2 linked regions of the Drosophila melanogaster genome follow. The gene in region 1 interacts genetically with each later gene. Each region holds a gene or a part of one and is shown in the gene's direction. Other genes may lie near its edges.

What was found. A genetic interaction does not mean that the proteins touch.
Region 2: of asp (region 1) and rod, changing one suppresses a phenotype caused by changing the other (phenotypic suppression), as found in Drosophila melanogaster (one study listed by BioGRID).

The regions. Positions count from the first base shown.
Region 1 is NT_033777.3:24,750,850-24,760,664, forward strand, and holds asp (abnormal spindle), read left to right. Parts: upstream 1-2,999; 5' UTR 3,000-3,191; coding exon 3,192-3,206; intron 3,207-3,278; coding exon 3,279-3,455; intron 3,456-3,507; coding exon 3,508-3,720; intron 3,721-3,799; coding exon 3,800-8,681; intron 8,682-8,741; coding exon 8,742-9,043; intron 9,044-9,107; coding exon 9,108-9,383; 3' UTR 9,384-9,664; downstream 9,665-9,815. Other genes in the region: tld (tolloid), read left to right, coding at 1-633, 685-946, 1,000-1,568, 1,625-2,571. UniProt on the Drosophila melanogaster protein: Required to maintain the structure of the centrosomal microtubule organizing center (MTOC) during mitosis. May have a preferential role in regulating neurogenesis. Required for germ cell mitosis and oocyte differentiation.
Region 2 is NT_033777.3:31,578,481-31,587,847, forward strand, and holds the start of rod (rough deal), read left to right. Parts: upstream 1-2,470; 5' UTR 2,471-2,542; coding exon 2,543-2,638; intron 2,639-2,700; coding exon 2,701-3,038; intron 3,039-3,127; coding exon 3,128-3,475; intron 3,476-3,535; coding exon 3,536-3,735; intron 3,736-3,799; coding exon 3,800-4,008; intron 4,009-4,063; coding exon 4,064-4,764; intron 4,765-4,824; coding exon 4,825-6,092; intron 6,093-6,153; coding exon 6,154-6,548; intron 6,549-6,608; coding exon 6,609-7,117; intron 7,118-7,175; coding exon 7,176-7,545; intron 7,546-7,602; coding exon 7,603-7,867; intron 7,868-7,937; coding exon 7,938-8,763; intron 8,764-8,822; coding exon 8,823-9,367. Other genes in the region: pygo (pygopus), read right to left, coding at 1-1,150.

The DNA.
Region 1 (9,815 bases):
ACAACTTTGATGTACTCTCGCCGGAGGAGGTGGACTTGCCTCTACTGCCCTACGATCTTAACTCCATTATGCACTATGCGAAGAACTCGTTCTCGAAGAGTCCCTACCTGGATACCATCACACCGATAGGGATTCCACCCGGAACCCATTTGGAGTTGGGTCAGCGGAAGCGTCTTAGTCGCGGCGACATTGTTCAAGCCAATTTGCTTTATAAGTGCGCCTCCTGTGGACGAACATATCAGCAGAATTCTGGACATATAGTGAGTCCACACTTTATATACTCCGGCAATGGAGTACTCAGCGAATTCGAGGGCAGTGGTGATGCTGGGGAAGATCCGTCCGCGGAATCTGAGTTCGATGCCTCGCTGACCAACTGCGAGTGGCGGATCACGGCCACCAATGGGGAAAAGGTCATCCTGCATCTGCAGCAGCTGCATCTGATGAGCTCCGACGATTGTACTCAGGATTACCTGGAGATTAGGGATGGTTACTGGCACAAATCGCCACTGGTGAGACGAATCTGCGGAAATGTCAGCGGAGAGGTCATCACCACCCAGACAAGTCGCATGCTTCTCAACTATGTCAACAGGAATGCAGCCAAAGGTTACCGTGGATTCAAGGCGAGATTCGAGGGTAAGTTTTAAACTTTTCAAAGAAAAACACAAACTAATTTTTCCATTCCAGTGGTATGTGGTGGGGACTTAAAGCTGACCAAAGATCAGTCCATAGACTCTCCCAACTATCCTATGGACTACATGCCGGACAAAGAGTGCGTGTGGCGGATCACGGCTCCGGATAACCACCAGGTGGCCCTGAAGTTCCAGAGCTTTGAGCTGGAGAAGCACGACGGGTGTGCCTACGACTTTGTGGAGATACGGGATGGCAATCACAGTGATTCGCGGCTCATAGGACGCTTCTGCGGAGATAAACTGCCGCCCAACATAAAGTAAGTTACTTTCAAAGGAAAAATGATCACTAACCAAGTGAATATCCACTTAGAACCCGCAGTAACCAGATGTACATCCGTTTCGTATCCGACTCATCGGTGCAAAAGCTGGGATTCTCAGCCGCCTTGATGCTGGACGTGGATGAGTGCAAGTTCACGGATCATGGATGCCAGCACCTGTGCATCAACACCTTGGGTAGCTACCAATGTGGCTGTCGAGCGGGATACGAGTTGCAGGCAAATGGAAAGACCTGCGAGGACGCGTGTGGAGGAGTCGTGGACGCCACCAAATCCAATGGCTCGCTCTACTCACCATCGTATCCGGATGTGTATCCCAACTCCAAGCAGTGCGTTTGGGAAGTGGTTGCGCCACCGAATCACGCGGTGTTCCTAAACTTTTCCCACTTTGATTTGGAGGGCACACGGTTTCACTACACCAAGTGCAACTATGATTACCTGATTATATACTCCAAAATGAGGGATAATCGCCTGAAGAAGATTGGCATTTATTGTGGTCATGAACTACCTCCAGTGGTGAATTCCGAGCAGAGTATCCTCAGGCTGGAGTTCTACTCGGATCGCACTGTCCAGAGAAGTGGATTTGTGGCCAAGTTTGTAATAGGTAACTTACAGAAAAAAATTAATTTACGTACGATCTATAATATCATTATTCCACAGATGTGGATGAGTGTTCAATGAACAATGGTGGCTGTCAGCACCGATGCCGAAACACCTTTGGATCCTATCAGTGCAGCTGCCGCAATGGATACACATTGGCTGAAAATGGACACAACTGCACGGAGACGCGTTGCAAGTTCGAGATCACCACGTCGTATGGAGTGTTGCAGAGTCCCAACTATCCGGAGGATTATCCAAGAAACATTTACTGCTACTGGCATTTTCAGACCGTACTGGGCCACCGGATACAGTTGACATTCCACGACTTTGAGGTGGAGAGCCACCAGGAGTGCATCTACGACTATGTGGCTATCTATGATGGTCGCTCCGAAAATAGCTCAACATTGGGCATCTATTGCGGTGGACGTGAACCGTATGCCGTTATTGCCTCCACCAATGAGATGTTTATGGTACTGGCCACGGATGCGGGTCTTCAGAGAAAGGGTTTCAAGGCCACCTTTGTCTCCGAATGTGGTGGCTACTTGAGGGCCACAAATCATTCACAGACCTTCTACTCGCATCCACGATACGGCAGTAGGCCGTACAAGCGGAACATGTACTGCGATTGGCGCATTCAGGCAGACCCGGAAAGCAGTGTCAAGATCCGTTTCCTACACTTCGAGATCGAGTACTCGGAGCGATGCGACTACGATTATCTGGAGATCACCGAGGAGGGCTACTCAATGAACACTATCCACGGCAGATTTTGCGGAAAGCACAAGCCGCCAATCATAATCTCCAACTCGGACACCCTTCTGTTGCGATTCCAAACGGACGAGAGTAACTCATTGAGAGGCTTCGCCATCTCCTTCATGGCCGTGGATCCACCGGAAGATTCTGTTGGCGAGGATTTCGACGCGGTTACACCCTTTCCGGGCTATCTCAAGAGCATGTATTCCTCAGAAACGGGCAGCGACCACCTCCTGCCACCCAGCAGACTCATTTAGATAAAATGAGAGGTCCAGCGAAGGGATTTAGAGTTTAATGTTTGTTGTTGAAATTTGTAAATAGATTGTGAATAAAAGATATTTCGAGTCATTTTGTTTACCCTATATTTTATTTTTAAAGGCACATAATATTTATATCTGTGATAATACACATTTGAATTTGGCGCTATAAAACTGTGCAACGTTCACACTGAGGATATCGATTGGTGGTGTTAACACATCTGGGTTACTCACAATTTATGTAAAATTACACAAAATAATATTCCTTAGAATGATCTTATCATATTAAATAATTTATGTTTAAAAATTGCGGACAAATGTAATCCTTATATTTTTAAGTCTATCGAAAACCATTCTGAAGACCCCTAACATTTCACAATCGATAGGTCGAATTGTTCGATAGCCCTTTGCTCCAGCAATCAAGCAATCGAGTATCGGCGTCGCTTCGTTTCGAATTTCAGTTCGAATTTGGATTTGTGCGGCGACGCTCTAATTTGTTTAATTTTTGTTCGTTAATTGTGTTAATTGATTAGTTAGTCGCTGTGTTAATGGACCACTAAGTTAGCTGCGAGCCCGTTTCTGTTTAGTTCAAGTTATTTCTGTTTTGGCCATTCCCTGCAATGAGCGCCTTTGAGGTTAGTTGAGTCCTCTTTTTGGAACTCCGGCAATAATTTTCCGAGAAATAACTAGATTACCGGTACTTACAGATCACAGTGACGCCATCGCGCCTAAAGCAAAAGAAGCGCGCCGAAGGACGCGAGCCCGCCGTCGTCGTCATGGCTCCGTTCTCCGCCAAGGCGATTGTGCAGTTCGAGGATGTGCCGATAACAAAGACAGCACGGCGCCAGGTGCGCGTTCTCAATCCCAGCGACGACGACATCGAGGTTAGTGGGTTGCATACGGCCTGGCAACTGTTATTTGATCAATGTTTTACAGGTCAAGGTAATGAAGGCCATCCGGGAGGAGCACAACTTAAGCCTGGAGTGGATGGAGCACACGGTGCCTGCAAGAGATGAGGTATCCATGGAGCTAGTGTGGAGCCCCGTCCTTGAGGTGGCCTGCAAGGAGACGCTGCAGCTAATAGACAACCGCAACTTCCGAAAGGAGGTGATGATCATACTCAAGTCCAAGAGCAACCAGCCGGTCAAGGTCAGTCAAAAAATGCATTTGCCACCCCTTTTACTTACATACCCTCTTTTGCATGTATCTCTTACCTTTCTACCTGAAGAACCCGCGCAAATTTCCTACTGTCGGCAAGACCCTGCAGCTGAAATCGCCGACAGGAGCTGGCAAGACAATGAAAAGCGTGGTATCCGCTGCTGTGCAGCAAAAGAAGCGCATGTCTGCAGCAGCAGCGCCTCCCTCCAAGCAGACATGGCGAGTGACTGCTCCTTCGCGTCCCGCTGCATGGGCACATCCACCTCCACAGGCTCCTCTTGTCGAGAAGAATGTATACAAGACTCCACAAGAAGAGCCCGTATACATATCACCACAGCCTCGCAGTCTTAAGGAAAATCTAAGCCCTATGACGCCAGGAAACCTACTCGACGTGATTGACAATCTGCGATTCACACCTCTCACCGAAACCCGTGGCAAAGGACAAGCTACCATTTTCCCGGACAATCTGGCAGCCTGGCCCACACCAACACTTAAAGGGAATGTAAAATCATGTGCTAATGATATGCGGCCGCGTCGAATCACTCCAGATGATCTAGAAGATCAGCCTGCCACAAACAAAACGTTCGATGTAAAGCATTCCGAGACTATCAATATTTCGTTGGACACCTTGGACTGCTCCAGGATCGATGGACAACCGCATACGCCCCTAAATAAGACAACAACCATTGTGCATGCCACGCACACCAGAGCTCTGGCCTGTATTCATGAGGAGGAGGGACCAAGTCCACCTAGGACGCCCACGAAGAGCGCCATACACGACCTGAAGAGGGACATTAAGTTGGTGGGTTCACCCTTACGAAAGTATTCCGAGTCCATGAAAGATTTGTCACTTCTATCGCCACAAACTAAGTATGCCATTCAAGGGTCTATGCCTAATCTAAATGAAATGAAAATCCGCTCGATCGAACAGAATAGATATTACCAGGAGCAGCAGATCCAGATAAAGGCCAAAGACTTGAATAGCTCCTCTAGTAGCGAGGCTAGTTTGGCCGGCCAGCAGGAGTTTCTATTCAACCACAGTGAGATCCTCGCTCAGTCCAGTCGTTTTAATCTCCATGAAGTAGGTCGGAAGTCGGTGAAGGGAAGTCCGGTGAAGAATCCTCACAAGCGCCGCTCTCATGAGTTGAGTTTTTCGGATGCACCTAGCAACGAATCATTGTACCGCAATGAAACTGTAGCCATTTCCCCTCCTAAAAAGCAACGGGTTGAGGACACTACTCTGCCCAGAAGTGCAGCGCCGGCAAATGCATCTGCAAGAAGCAGTAGTGCCCACGCCTGGCCACACGCCCAATCCAAGAAGTTTAAGCTAGCACAAACCATGTCACTGATGAAGAAGCCCGCCACACCACGAAAAGTCAGGGACACTAGCATTCAGCCTTCCGTCAAGCTCTATGACTCGGAGCTGTATATGCAGACGTGCATCAACCCGGATCCATTTGCAGCAACTACGACAATTGATCCATTTCTGGCATCTACCATGTATTTGGATGAACAGGCTGTGGATCGTCATCAAGCTGACTTTAAAAAGTGGTTAAATGCCCTTGTCTCCATACCCGCTGACCTGGACGCAGATTTAAATAACAAAATAGACGTTGGTAAGCTGTTTAACGAGGTGCGCAACAAAGAGCTCGTGGTGGCTCCCACCAAGGAGGAGCAGTCTATGAACTACCTAACGAAATACCGCCTGGAGACGCTTCGTAAGGCGGCTGTGGAGCTCTTCTTCAGTGAGCAGATGCGCCTGCCATGCTCCAAAGTGGCCGTATATGTCAACAAGCAAGCTCTGCGCATCCGTAGCGATCGTAATCTTCACCTAGACGTAGTTATGCAACGCACCATACTTGAGCTGCTGCTTTGCTTCAATCCCCTTTGGCTGCGCCTTGGACTGGAAGTGGTCTTTGGCGAGAAGATCCAGATGCAGTCTAATCGAGACATTGTAGGCCTCAGCACCTTTATCCTCAATCGCTTGTTCCGGAATAAGTGTGAGGAGCAGAGGTACAGCAAGGCATACACACTCACCGAAGAGTACGCGGAGACCATTAAGAAGCACTCATTGCAGAAAATCCTCTTTTTGCTGCTTTTCCTCGATCAAGCTAAGCAGAAGCGCATCGTCAAGCACAATCCCTGTTTGTTTGTTAAAAAGTCGCCACATAAAGAGACCAAGGATATTCTGCTGCGCTTCTCGTCGGAGCTGCTCGCCAACATTGGTGATATTACGCGGGAACTTCGTCGCCTGGGCTACGTTCTACAGCACCGCCAAACATTTTTGGACGAGTTCGATTATGCCTTCAACAACTTGGCTGTGGACCTAAGAGATGGCGTGAGACTAACCCGAGTCATGGAGGTAATTTTACTACGCGATGATCTAACCCGCCAGTTAAGGGTGCCAGCCATCTCTCGCCTTCAGCGGATCTTCAATGTAAAGCTAGCTCTGGGCGCACTTGGTGAAGCCAACTTCCAGCTAGGCGGCGACATCGCCGCCCAAGACATCGTTGACGGACATCGTGAGAAGACGCTTTCCCTGCTCTGGCAACTTATTTACAAATTCCGCTCGCCCAAGTTTCATGCGGCGGCCACGGTGCTCCAGAAATGGTGGCGCCGTCACTGGCTGCACGTTGTTATCCAGCGTCGCATTCGCCACAAAGAGCTTATGCGTCGCCACCGGGCCGCTACTGTCATTCAGGCCGTGTTCCGTGGCCACCAGATGAGAAAGTACGTGAAGTTGTTTAAGACGGAACGCACTCAGGCCGCAATAATTCTGCAAAAGTTCACCCGTCGGTATTTGGCCCAGAAGCAGCTATATCAGAGCTATCACAGTATTATCACCATCCAGCGCTGGTGGCGAGCCCAACAACTGGGAAGGCAGCACCGCCAGCGGTTTGTGGAGCTCCGAGAGGCTGCGATCTTTCTTCAGCGGATCTGGCGGCGACGACTCTTTGCCAAAAAACTATTGGCGGCGGCGGAAACAGCCAGACTTCAGCGATCGCAAAAACAACAGGCAGCTGCTAGTTATATTCAAATGCAATGGCGAAGCTATCAGCTGGGCAGAATTCAGCGACAGCAGTTCCTGCGCCAGAGGGACCTCATCATGTTTGTTCAGCGCAGGATGCGAAGCAAGTGGAGTATGCTGGAGCAGCGCAAGGAGTTCCAGCAACTAAAGCGTGCAGCTATAAATATCCAACAACGCTGGCGAGCGAAGCTTTCAATGAGAAAGTGCAACGCTGATTATTTGGCACTTCGTTCCAGCGTTCTTAAAGTTCAGGCTTACAGGAAAGCCACAATCCAGATGAGAATAGATCGTAATCACTACTATTCCCTGCGAAAAAATGTTATCTGCCTGCAACAGCGACTGAGGGCCATCATGAAAATGCGCGAACAGAGGGAAAATTATCTGAGGCTGCGAAATGCTTCAATACTAGTTCAAAAACGCTACCGCATGCGTCAACAAATGATCCAGGATAGAAATGCATATTTAAGAACCCGCAAATGTATCATCAATGTCCAGAGGCGCTGGAGAGCCACTCTGCAGATGCGTCGAGAAAGGAAGAACTACCTTCATCTCCAAACGACAACCAAACGAATTCAAATCAAGTTCCGTGCCAAGCGCGAAATGAAAAAGCAAAGAGCCGAGTTTCTTCAGCTGAAAAAGGTTACCCTTGTAGTCCAGAAACGTCGGCGGGCTTTGCTGCAGATGCGAAAGGAGCGCCAGGAGTACCTACATCTGCGCGAGGTTACCATAAAGCTGCAGCGCAGATTCCATGCTCAAAAATCAATGCGGTTCATGCGAGCCAAGTACCGCGGCACCCAGGCTGCTGTGAGCTGCCTGCAGATGCATTGGCGTAATCATCTCCTTAGGAAACGGGAGAGGAACAGTTTCTTACAACTGCGTCAAGCAGCAATAACACTGCAGCGACGGTACCGAGCTCGTCTGAATATGATCAAGCAGTTGAAGAGTTACGCCCAGCTGAAACAGGCAGCTATTACCATTCAAACCCGATATAGAGCCAAGAAGGCAATGCAAAAGCAGGTGGTCTTGTACCAAAAGCAAAGGGAAGCCATTATCAAAGTGCAACGACGATACCGCGGCAATCTGGAGATGAGGAAGCAGATTGAAGTCTACCAAAAACAGCGCCAGGCAGTCATCCGCTTGCAGAAATGGTGGCGCAGTATACGCGACATGCGGCTGTGCAAAGCGGGCTACCGAAGGATTCGACTCAGTTCATTGAGCATTCAACGCAAGTGGCGGGCCACAGTGCAGGCTCGTCGCCAACGGGAGATCTTCTTAAGCACCATCCGCAAAGTGCGACTTATGCAGGCATTTATCAGAGCAACTTTACTGATGCGTCAGCAGCGCAGGGAATTCGAGATGAAGCGAAGGGCTGCCGTAGTGATCCAGCGCCGGTTTCGTGCTCGCTGTGCTATGCTAAAGGCGAGACAGGATTACCAATTAATCCAATCCTCTGTGATCCTGGTGCAGCGCAAATTCCGTGCTAATCGCAGCATGAAGCAGGCACGCCAGGAATTTGTCCAGCTGCGTACTATTGCAGTCCATTTGCAACAAAAGTTCCGTGGCAAGCGTCTAATGATTGAGCAGCGTAATTGTTTCCAACTGCTCCGCTGTTCCATGCCGGGCTTCCAGGCACGTGCCCGCGGCTTTATGGCTCGCAAACGATTCCAGGCCCTGATGACACCCGAGATGATGGACCTCATCCGCCAGAAGCGCGCCGCCAAGGTTATACAGCGTTACTGGCGGGGCTATCTAATCCGACGACGTCAGAAGCACCAGGGTCTCTTGGATATCCGGAAGCGTATTGCTCAGCTGCGGCAAGAGGCAAAGGCGGTAAACTCTGTGCGCTGCAAAGTCCAGGAGGCGGTGCGTTTCCTTCGCGGACGCTTTATCGCATCAGATGCGTTAGCAGTGCTAAGTCGATTGGGTAAGTGATCCAGCTACGTTAGTCCTTATTATAACTAATCCTGCTTAATAATCCCGGCAGATCGTCTTTCGCGCACTGTGCCACACCTGCTCATGTGGTGTTCGGAGTTCATGTCCACGTTTTGCTATGGCATCATGGCTCAGGCCATTCGATCAGAGGTGGATAAGCAGCTTATAGAGCGCTGCAGCCGGATCATCCTAAATTTGGCCCGCTACAATAGCACCACGGTGAACACGTTCCAGGAGGGCGGTTTGGTCACCATTGCCCAGATGTTATTGCGCTGGTGCGACAAAGACAGTGAGATATTCAACACTTTGTGCACCCTCATTTGGGTATTCGCCCACTGTCCTAAAAAGCGAAAGGTAGCTAAATAGCGAGAGGATTAGGTTTTAGCGAGTTTTTAATCATATTCTTAATGCCTTCCAGATCATTCACGACTATATGACCAACCCAGAGGCCATTTACATGGTGCGCGAAACTAAGAAGCTCGTGGCCCGCAAGGAAAAGATGAAGCAAAATGCACGCAAGCCGCCGCCAATGACAAGTGGACGGTATAAGAGCCAAAAGATAAACTTCACGCCGTGTTCCCTGCCCAGCCTGGAGCCGGACTTCGGAATCATCCGCTACAGTCCCTACACGTTTATCTCGTCCGTTTACGCCTTCGATACGATTTTGTGCAAGCTGCAGATCGACATGTTTTAGATTTAGGAAAATTCATCTTTAAATGTTTAATGTTAAAACCATTCTGTGTTGTGTTTTAAAATAGTCACATAAATTCTTAGACCATGCTAGTTTTTTGGAGACAATTAGAAATAGTTTAAGATAATCTAAGACCGTCTTAACAATGTAAAATAATTAAGTATTAAGTTAACATGTATATGCTGCAAACGAAAAATGTAACTAATATTTTAGAATGAAAACTAAGTGCATTGTTTTTATAGGAAACCACAAAAGAAACTGAAGAATAAAGACAATTGAAAGTCAAATTCAAGTGTATTTGCTAACGCAGACTTGCTGCGCCTATGTTTATTCGGGTAGGTATGCATGTATTCACAAAACAATTACATATTTGTAATTATATAGTTAAATTAGTAATCACTTTGTCAAACACTTAGTTACACCGATATTAGTATG
Region 2 (9,367 bases), 6.8 Mb from region 1:
GGGAGATGCCACCGGGACCTACTAGGCCGCCAGGCCCAGGACCTGGTCCTGGGATTGGTCCTCCAGGCATGTGACTGCCATGACCCGTTGGTCCGTTTCCGAGCGGACTGTGCAGAGGAGGAGGACCCATCTGCCCGTTGTTCATCGGTGGCTGCGGAGGTTGTTGTTGTTGCTGCTGTGGTCCGCCGGTATTGCCGGGATTCCCAGGGCCCGGTCCCGAGGGAGGGCCCAACGGGCTGCCAATTGGATTGCCCATTGGCGAACCCATAGGCAGTGAGTTCATTGGCGAGTTCTGCCCCGGACCGCCCATCGGTGAACCCTGCATGGCTCGCGGATTGGGTCCGTTGGGACCGCCTCCCATGGGCGACAGACCACCCATGCCCATGTGATGGGGTGATATGCTGGGGCCTCCCATTCCGCCCATTGGGCTCATGCCGCCCATGCCAGCTATTCCACCCATGGGACTACCCATTGGGACGGGTCCTCCAGGACCACCAGGTCCCCCTGGCCTTCCGTGATTCATATGCGGCGGTAGTCCGACGCCTGGTCCCGGTCCCATTTGATGGGGGTGCATGGGGCTCATTCCTCGCATTGGAGGTGGACCACCCATGTGCGGATGTGGGCCATGTGGGTGACCCATAGGTCCGCCTGGATGATGCGGGTGCATATGGGGATGCATGTGAGGCGGGGGAGGAGGTCCACCGCCCATGCCCATGCGGTCTTCCCAGTGCGGGTGCCCACCCGGTCCACCGCCGCCAAAGTGACCACCTCCTGGTCCGCCGCCCATCTGATTCATGGCCGCCATCGCCGCGGCCGCTGAGCTGGACATCGCCGACACCTGGGGACTGTCGTCGAATGGATTCGAGGCAATAATGGTGTCTCCGAAGCCTCCCATTGGCGGAGGGGGCAGCAAATCCTGCGGTGTGGGTGGCGCCTGCTGCTGCTGCATGGAATTCGCAGCAGCTGCTGCAGCCGCCGCCGCAGCCACCGCTGCAGCGGAGTTGGCGGCACTTGAGGTTTTTCGCCGCTTCTTCGGATTGCTCGGCGCCGAGATGATGTCCGTGGGAGGCGGCGGCTTAAAATCGGGCGGACAGAGTCCGCCCGCTGGACCCGGCAATCGATATGGCGCCATACCAAGATTGTGGGTCATATTCGAGGTGTTCTTCTTCCGAATGGTGGCAGCTTTTCTTCAACGGCGTGGGGCAAGAAATTCGGTTGTAGCGGCGTCGCCAATCCCGCGCAGGAGATCTCGACGCTGGTAAAGGAGTGGGTTTGGTTCTGATGTCCCTAGGGAGGTGGGCACAAATCCACTGGATCCTTCGGTGACCAACTACAATGGGTTATGCTTGGTGGGCTTGGGCTTTCTGCCGGTTATCCGGCCTGCGACCGCCTGGAGTTTGAGTTCCTGGGAGTGTGAAGGGTGCCAAATGAGTATCTGGCATCCTGTGGGTCAGTCCTCCTCAACTACTCACCAAGACATCTCCTGGCCAGGACCCTTATGAAAATCGCGTTTTTAAAGCAACTGACTCCCAAAACGCAGGTAAACACTTTCGGCGCAACGAACGGCAACCCCGCTTATTTTTCGGGTTGGCAACTCTACCCTGGAAACCCAGCGTCGTGTTGTCTCGTTTCAAAGCGCCAAGCACCTGCCGCTTCTCAGTTTCTTACTGATCCTTGATCACTTCAGGTCAGGAGTTCGTTTTTTTAGCACTCTGCACTGCGGTTTGCCACTAATTCCCCTTCATAAACCCTTCAAAGGGCGCTTTCTGGCAGCGCTCTTCTTCTTGCCAGCGATTTTATGTCCTCCGCTGCGCTTCCCGTTCCGTTTTAATTGCAGTGCAGCGCTTAACTGTTGTTTATTTACGGGTTCTTTTTGCGTTTGTCTTTAATCGGAAAACAAAACAACCGGCGGTTATTTCCCAAGGAAATTGTGTTAGGGTTTACGCGATTTGTGAAGCCTGCGTTTTCGGTTGGCTTTTTGTTGATTTGATGGCCACTGCAGCATCCACTTTTAATTAGCGCCGTTTATAGGAGCGGCACACGCACGGATTACCGTTACGCGGATTCGGCGGTCCGGCGGACTGACCACTGAACCGTTATATAGCAGCAGCACATTAACCTTTGTTTATTTTGACCAATTTTTGCGTGCGAAGAAGCGAAATATAAATAATTTTCATTGCAAGTCCGCCAGTGTGACCGTTTGCGCACGTCAAGAGAAATGCCGGAATTCCGTCGGCGGCTCAGTGTGGCCAAAGCAAGCCAGCACGAAGTAGTTTGCAACTACGTTAACATTTAAAAAGTAATAGGTTTAAAGGAGAAATTACGATTTGGACATACGTCATTTAAGTAATAAATATAAATTGCGTAAACGTATTAGCCCCAAGGTCAATACGTAGTGTGTCTTCATGCCGCCAATCGTCTATCGATATGCGGGTAATGTTATCGGCAAACTCTCAGGCGACGCTTGTTTATTGGCGGTGTTTAAATAAAGAGTTTAAAATTGGCAGGTTTTGCACATTAGGCTAGAGCGGATTGAACAGCAATGTGGAGCAACTTCGAGGCGTCCTCCCTGGAGGACGAAACCATCTCCAACATATTTTCGTCGCGAGGCATCTTCCAAATAAGCAGTGAAGAGGAAGTGAGTCCTTATTGTGCAGAATCTGCAGTTGGGTTTCTACGCTCGCCTTCTTTCATTGTCAGGTAAACAAATATCCAGATGTCATGGCCTCCGTGCAGTGCGGCAAGATGGTCATTGGCATCGACAAGAGCCTTTTGCTCCTGGAGGACGAACTGGTGGCCAAGTGCAGCTTTCTGGCATTCGGGGCAGCCATTGAGGCCATTGCCATTTCTTCAAGCGGCAACCTGATTGTATGCGGCCTCAGCGATGGCGAAGTTCACGGAGTGTTCATCAAGGGCCTGCTCCTGTTCAGCGTGGCCGTCAATCTGGAGGACGTGAGCCTAACTGGCGGGACCTTCCGGAGCATCCATCAACTGGATCAGCGGTTTTACTTCACCTGTAAGAATGGAAGCATCTATAGGTAAGCCATTCACAGAGATGGGCTCTGGCATATGCGTGATAAAACTGGATCTTGACATTATTTCATTAAACGATTCAAACGCTGTGTAGCTTAAGCGACATTGATGAGACCTGCTTGGAAACGTTAGGCAATATGAGCCTGAATGAAAACGAAACTATAGCTTGCGAAAAGGCCCTGCTCGAGGACGTCACCATTCAACGTCTTTCCAAGGGCAGATCCTCGTGCAGCGTGGACTGTGCAGTGCTGCTCAAGCGGCTGCTGACCGGCAACATCAGTGCCGAGAACAATCAGGATGATCTGGAGGCGCAACCCGGTCTAGTTATCACTGGAGATCAAAGCACTATGAACTTTAGGAATGCAGCCAATGACGTGACACGAATAAATTTGCCCGCTCAGTACGGCAGCCTAAAGCAGATCTTCAACTTGGAACACTATATGTGAGTGGGTTTGCTTATTGTGGTGCTAGAATCCCTCTAACGTGTATCTGGGTTTTGCAGTATCGCACTCACCGATTCCGGCCACTTGGTGGAGATTTGTCCATACACTCGCACAGTGTACATGTGTCAAACTACCCAACAAAAAAATCTGCTCATCGAGGATCTGCTGGTTATGGAGTGCAGCGAAGATAACATTGAGCTTCTGGTGCTGACGAAATCAACGGCGGAGGGACGCTTCATTAAGATAGTGGAGTACCCAAGTATGAGTCCAGCAAACATAAAACATAAACATACAGTAAGGCTAAAAACCTTGTGTCATTGCAGCGCTCAATGTGAAGAACGAGGTAGAAGTTCCTGATCACGCATGGCTTGTGCGTCAGCCTAAGTGTGCGGTCAATCTGTATTATCTGGCTGCCAAGGAAGTCAACCAGAGCAGCATACCCTCCGTGGTGGAGATGATGCTCGTTTCCGAGACCGACCCCAGTGATCGTTTTAAGAAGCTGATTTGCAAGGGGCGACTGGAGGAGGCTGAGGTATTGAGTATAATTGATCTCTTAGTCATTCATTATCCATTAACATTTGCAACAGGAATTTGGCAAGCAGTTTGAGCTGTGCCTCCAGCCCATCTATGAAGCCAAAGCGAAACGCATTTTGGTCGAGCTTTGCAACTCGAATTCACAAAACGTGGACACTAAATTCCAAGACTTGCTGCAACTGCTGTCTCAGGTGGAAAGTAAGGCATTCATAAAGAGCCATCGCATGATCAACTTGAACTCGAGGCACATCCTTGAGCGGTATCTTCACGAGGTCAAGAAGCGGTTGACTTTTGAGGACGACGAGGAGGATATGTTGGAAATCGACGAGCAACTGCACCGACTTAAAACTCTGGCCATAATAGATCCCTACGAATGCAACACGGATTGGCAGAAGTTTATTTACGATAACAACTTGGTCAGGATGGTCAAGTCGCTATTCAACACAGATATGCCCACGGCTTGTCTCATTTGGCGGCGGCATTCGAGCAGCATTCTGCCGCTGCTAAACGAAGATGAGTTGCGCACGCTTTTAGGGTTCATTCCGAGCAACACCAAGCCCTTCAACGTTGTCCAGTGGTTGCGTCAGTTCATTCCGATGGTCAGCAACACCCATCCTAGCATAATGCCCTTTATCACTGACTGGAGTATTGAGATGACGCGGAATCTGCAGTATAGTCCGCATTGGCCGGATATCGGCCTGGAGTTCTGCACAAAGATACTGGACATTTTTGAGGAAATCCAGTTTACTTACTCGTAGGCAAATCCTTTTTTCGCCCTAAAATATGATAGATTTAACTTGTATATCCGTTTCAGCGATGTGCGGCGTCAGCAAGAGCGCAACGTTGGAAAACTGCGGGATCTTGTCAACGCACTGCAGGATCTTTCTGTGCTTAAGACCAACTATAACATGGGCTTTACACTGGACAACTACATGCAGGATTCCATCGACGCCACTGCGTTGAGCATTTTGCAACACGTTCAACTAGATAAGCTTCAGCGTCTGGTGAAGAACTTCATGTACCCGATCTTCCAGGAGAAGGGACGGCAGCCACTGGACGTGATTAAACAGTACATATCACAGTTAGTAGCCAGTCGGCTATCTTCTAGTTCATGGCTGGATCGGGCGATGGCTTGCATTGAGCTGCTTCACAACGAAGACAGCCGTTTGGAGTGCGCCTTGTCTGTGCTGCAAAACGCACCTGTGCCCTGGCCTGATACACTAGCTCCTCTAATCCGGCTGCGTGCCTCCACTCATCCATTGGCCGTGAAGATCAATGCCGAGTATGAGATTCAGGTGATTAAGATCATGAAGGTCAAGTACGGCTGGCCGGCCGACAGCTCCGATATCAACCTGGAGCTTTTCATGATGCGCATTGTGAAGTTGAACCTTCCGGACATGCTGGACGACATCAGCGCCCTCACCAAGGCGGCGCCGGAGTTATCAACTAGTGCCAACTTTAACTGCTGCTATCAAATGGCACGGAGAGGACAAGTTGAGATGGCTTATGAATTCTTCAAAAAGCTGAATGGTGAGAAAAATTCGAAGAGCGCGAAGGAAGTGGTGGAGATCATGGCTAACATCTTGGAGAACAGCTCCTCTGCTTCGTTTGAAAGTGATATTAAAGTGCAGGAGCACCTGAACGTCCTTGAGCTTTTTAAGTTGTTCTTGCCGCATGTTGAGTCCGTTTATGAGCGCCGCTACCTAGTGATCAAGCATCGTTTCCGCCTAAGGAAATTCGGCATCCTTTTGAGCTGCAGCAGCGAGCTGATACCGCTGCACAGACGTCATTGCCTTCTGGATGAGGCCATTGAAAGGATAATTGAGCGGGCCCAGGCCACGCTGAATGTGTCCGCATTCATAGCCAGCGAAATAAGCGAACTGTGTACCGCTCTCGGTCTTCCGAAAGTATTTGGTTTGCACCGCATTTGCCAACGCATTGGATGCCTGCCCCTCAGCTGCGCCCTCGCTTATCATGTTGTAAGCTTCGTCGACTGTGTGCCCGCCAATGCAGGCGAGTTCGTCAATCTTGCACTTGAGCTGCTGGTTCAGCAAATTGAAAGCGCCAAGGGAAAGAATCAGGGTAAGTCGTATACAGCTATGCAACAATGGGATTGAACGAAAAATCCATTTATGTTTTGCAGAAACGGCCTCCTCCCTGCAGTTGATCAATGAAAACGATCCGCTTAGCTTTTATTTAGCGTACGAGTTGCTCACCTCCGCCCTGCTCCACGAGAGCAGCCGTCGTCACGATCTAGTTGAACTCATCAAATACATACGCGTGGCCGTAATCCACTACCCGCTAGACGCCATTAAGAGTCACTACGACGGCAAGGAGCAGGCCGTCAACGAGCACATCTGCCGGGCCCTCGATGGGATTTCGGTAGCCCTGGGCGAAACCACAATAAACTTCAGTTGTGCTCTTAACGGATCCTTTGACGTGAAGACTCTGACGGTTCCAACGACTACGAAGAAGCGCTACTCGGTGTCCATGTTTGATGAAGTAGAAGTGCAGCCTATCCAGCAGCAGCCTCAGAAGGTATTGATCGTAGACAGCTATAATTGACTATAGTTATAATGCTTTCTGTTGTCTTCGAAGAAAAGCGTCGGAGGTCGCATGGCAATAGTGAAGTTCTTGGCTCGCACTCTGTTGCTTATGGTAATCGAAACGGAGCCAAACAACTCATTGCTGATGCAGGTTCGCAATGAACTGCCGGAGAACACAAAAGCGGATGTCGAAAGTGCTTGCGCTGACTTCTTTCTGTCACTGGAGCACTTGACGAAGGTGAAGGAGCACGACGCTTGGTACGTTATGTCGCAATATCTGCTGGATTTCCAGAAGCAAAACTGTCGCACGAAGCGGATCATCAACGAGGGCTTTATTACGCTGCAGCTGCGCCGCATATTCCGAAATGCGATGGGGAGCAAAGATGTGAACTTCATAGAGCTTTTCACCATGTTGGTGGTGGACAGCGAGGCACTAGCGCTGCTGGAGAAGCTCTCCGTTGAAGTAAAGACCGATCTGCAAAAAATCAACTTCCTGACACTATCCGCCATGTACCACGAGCATATCGAAGACTTGGACAGTGTGCACATGATACGCACCAAGTAAGTGAAGTATTACATTAAAAGTCTAGATGTTAAACTTCGTTTTATTGGTTTGCAGGAGATTGAAACTCTTCTATTACCTGGAGTTTTGCCAACAGGATCATAGAATAAAGGGCAAGTTCAATGCCGACATGGACAACATAGAGGACCTGCTTAAGGAGTTTCACAATAAGCAACTTGACGTTCAGCTTTTGGAACGCATGAGCAAGGACTTTGGGTTCGACTACCAAAAGATTCTTATTACCCAGATACTAAGCATATTGAGCGCCCAGGAGTTGCGCTTCGAGGTGAAGAGGGATACCTTCGGCGACGAGGAACTGGTTATGCTAAGCAGCGCCCAGGAAATGCGCGATATGTGCCAACCGTACATTAATGAAATCAATAATGTCGAGCTCTTTACTTCCAAGTTAAAACACTTTATTGAAGACGTAAGCTCACTGATGCCACAAATAATCTTTTTTTTAATATCTTTGCAAATCGTTTAGATCAACATTTACTTCTACGAGTTGTACATGTGTGTGATCAACATCCTAATGTACTTCGATTCGGCTCCGAAGGAAATGGAAATCTGGATGAACATTTTGCACTTCCTGAGACACAAGATGATCACCAGAAGACGCAATCGGCCAGGTCAGGTGGAAACCGACACGTGGCTGAAATCACAAAGGGAAAATGGCGTTATGCCGAAGATATCTCGATATCGTCTGCCTTTTAAGCCCATCGTAGAGCAACCTCTTAAGGATATTCTTGGTATATTCAACTGAAATAGTTTAATGCTTAATGCTTCTGTTTAATTATAGTTTCCGCTTCTTCTATTCAGACAGCGAACTAAACGTGGACAACTGCCAAAGCTGGTTTCCACTGATTCAGATGTACACGGCTTTGAAGGGATCCAAGGATAGTTCCCAGAACTGTGACTACTTCTGCATGTCAGCAGTAAAGAATTCGATATCGGAGTACAAGTCGAAAAATGATTCGGAATCATGGAGTCTTCATCCCACGAATAATGCCTTCCTGCAGTCAATACTACGACTGGTCGAGAAGGTGAACAACCCAAACAAGGCATTTCTAATACTGTACTTCGTGTCCAACTATGCTCGTGATGGAGCCGATCAGGTGGAGGCCTCCTACGAGTGCTGGAAGTTTGTCAAGGAGAAGGGCCACCTGATTACAGATCCAAAGAGTCGCGAGCAGGTTGCCAAGGTGAAGCGACGGTATCCTATTCAGAAGACCCAGCACCTGCTGTATGTCTATGGCCTGACCGATGAGAAGCTACTGCGCCAAGTTGAGAACCCCACCGAGCTTATTCAGGCGCTCTACCACCATGAGCTGATCCTCAAGTCCAGCAAAGTGGATATTAACGCTCTGGTCGCAGAGATAGCCAAGCTGCACGACCTCTGCTTAGCCACCATCCAGTACCGCCTGCTACAGAAGTGGCTCGCTCTGACTATGGAGTCTGCGGGTGATGGTACCATTTTGGAGGAGACCTTCATGGAGGAGCAGAACTGGCCGGAGCAGGCCAACGGCGCAGAGTCCTCCAACAGCCAGGACGCCAGCGAGAACGTAAATAGAGCGTTTTACATACTTTCCAGTTGGCCAAAGGCGGAGGCAGTCAAGTTCCTTGTGGGTCTGATCTTCAAGGGCGGGTAAGGATTGGTACTTAAAAGTTAGCGAAAATAATTCATTGAATAAACCCTTCCACCAGTTCGGTAAACACCTCCACACAGCTGCAAATGTACGAGTGCTATTCCAAGCTAAACGATGGCAGCAACTCCTTTACCAACACGATTAGCCAACGCCAGTTCATCAGCATCAAGTGTGTGCACGAGCTCAAGGCTCTGGGCTACAAGTCGAACCTGGAGAAGTTCTCCGACGACCATTGCAACAAGATTGACATTCTGAAGATGATCTGGCAGCGTAATGCGCAGAATCCCCTTTCGCTGGAAGTCATGGCCAACATTTGCCTGGGCTTTGATATACACTTGCCGCAGATCTGGAACGGCATTCTGAAGCGCATGGTCATGTTCCATATGGTGCGCGAGCTGAACGCCTTGTTGGATGTACTCAGCTGCCGGCCGCATCTACTTCACCTGGATGGACTGGCCCAGGCCTGGGACTATGTGCTCTGCCATCCTCTGCAGAACGCAGTCGAGCTACGATCCTTTAAGCAGGAAGAGGTGCTCCACAAGACGCTGCTGCGCCTGCAGGGCTGTCCGGTGGTGCACGCCCTCAACCTGCTACAGTTCGCCC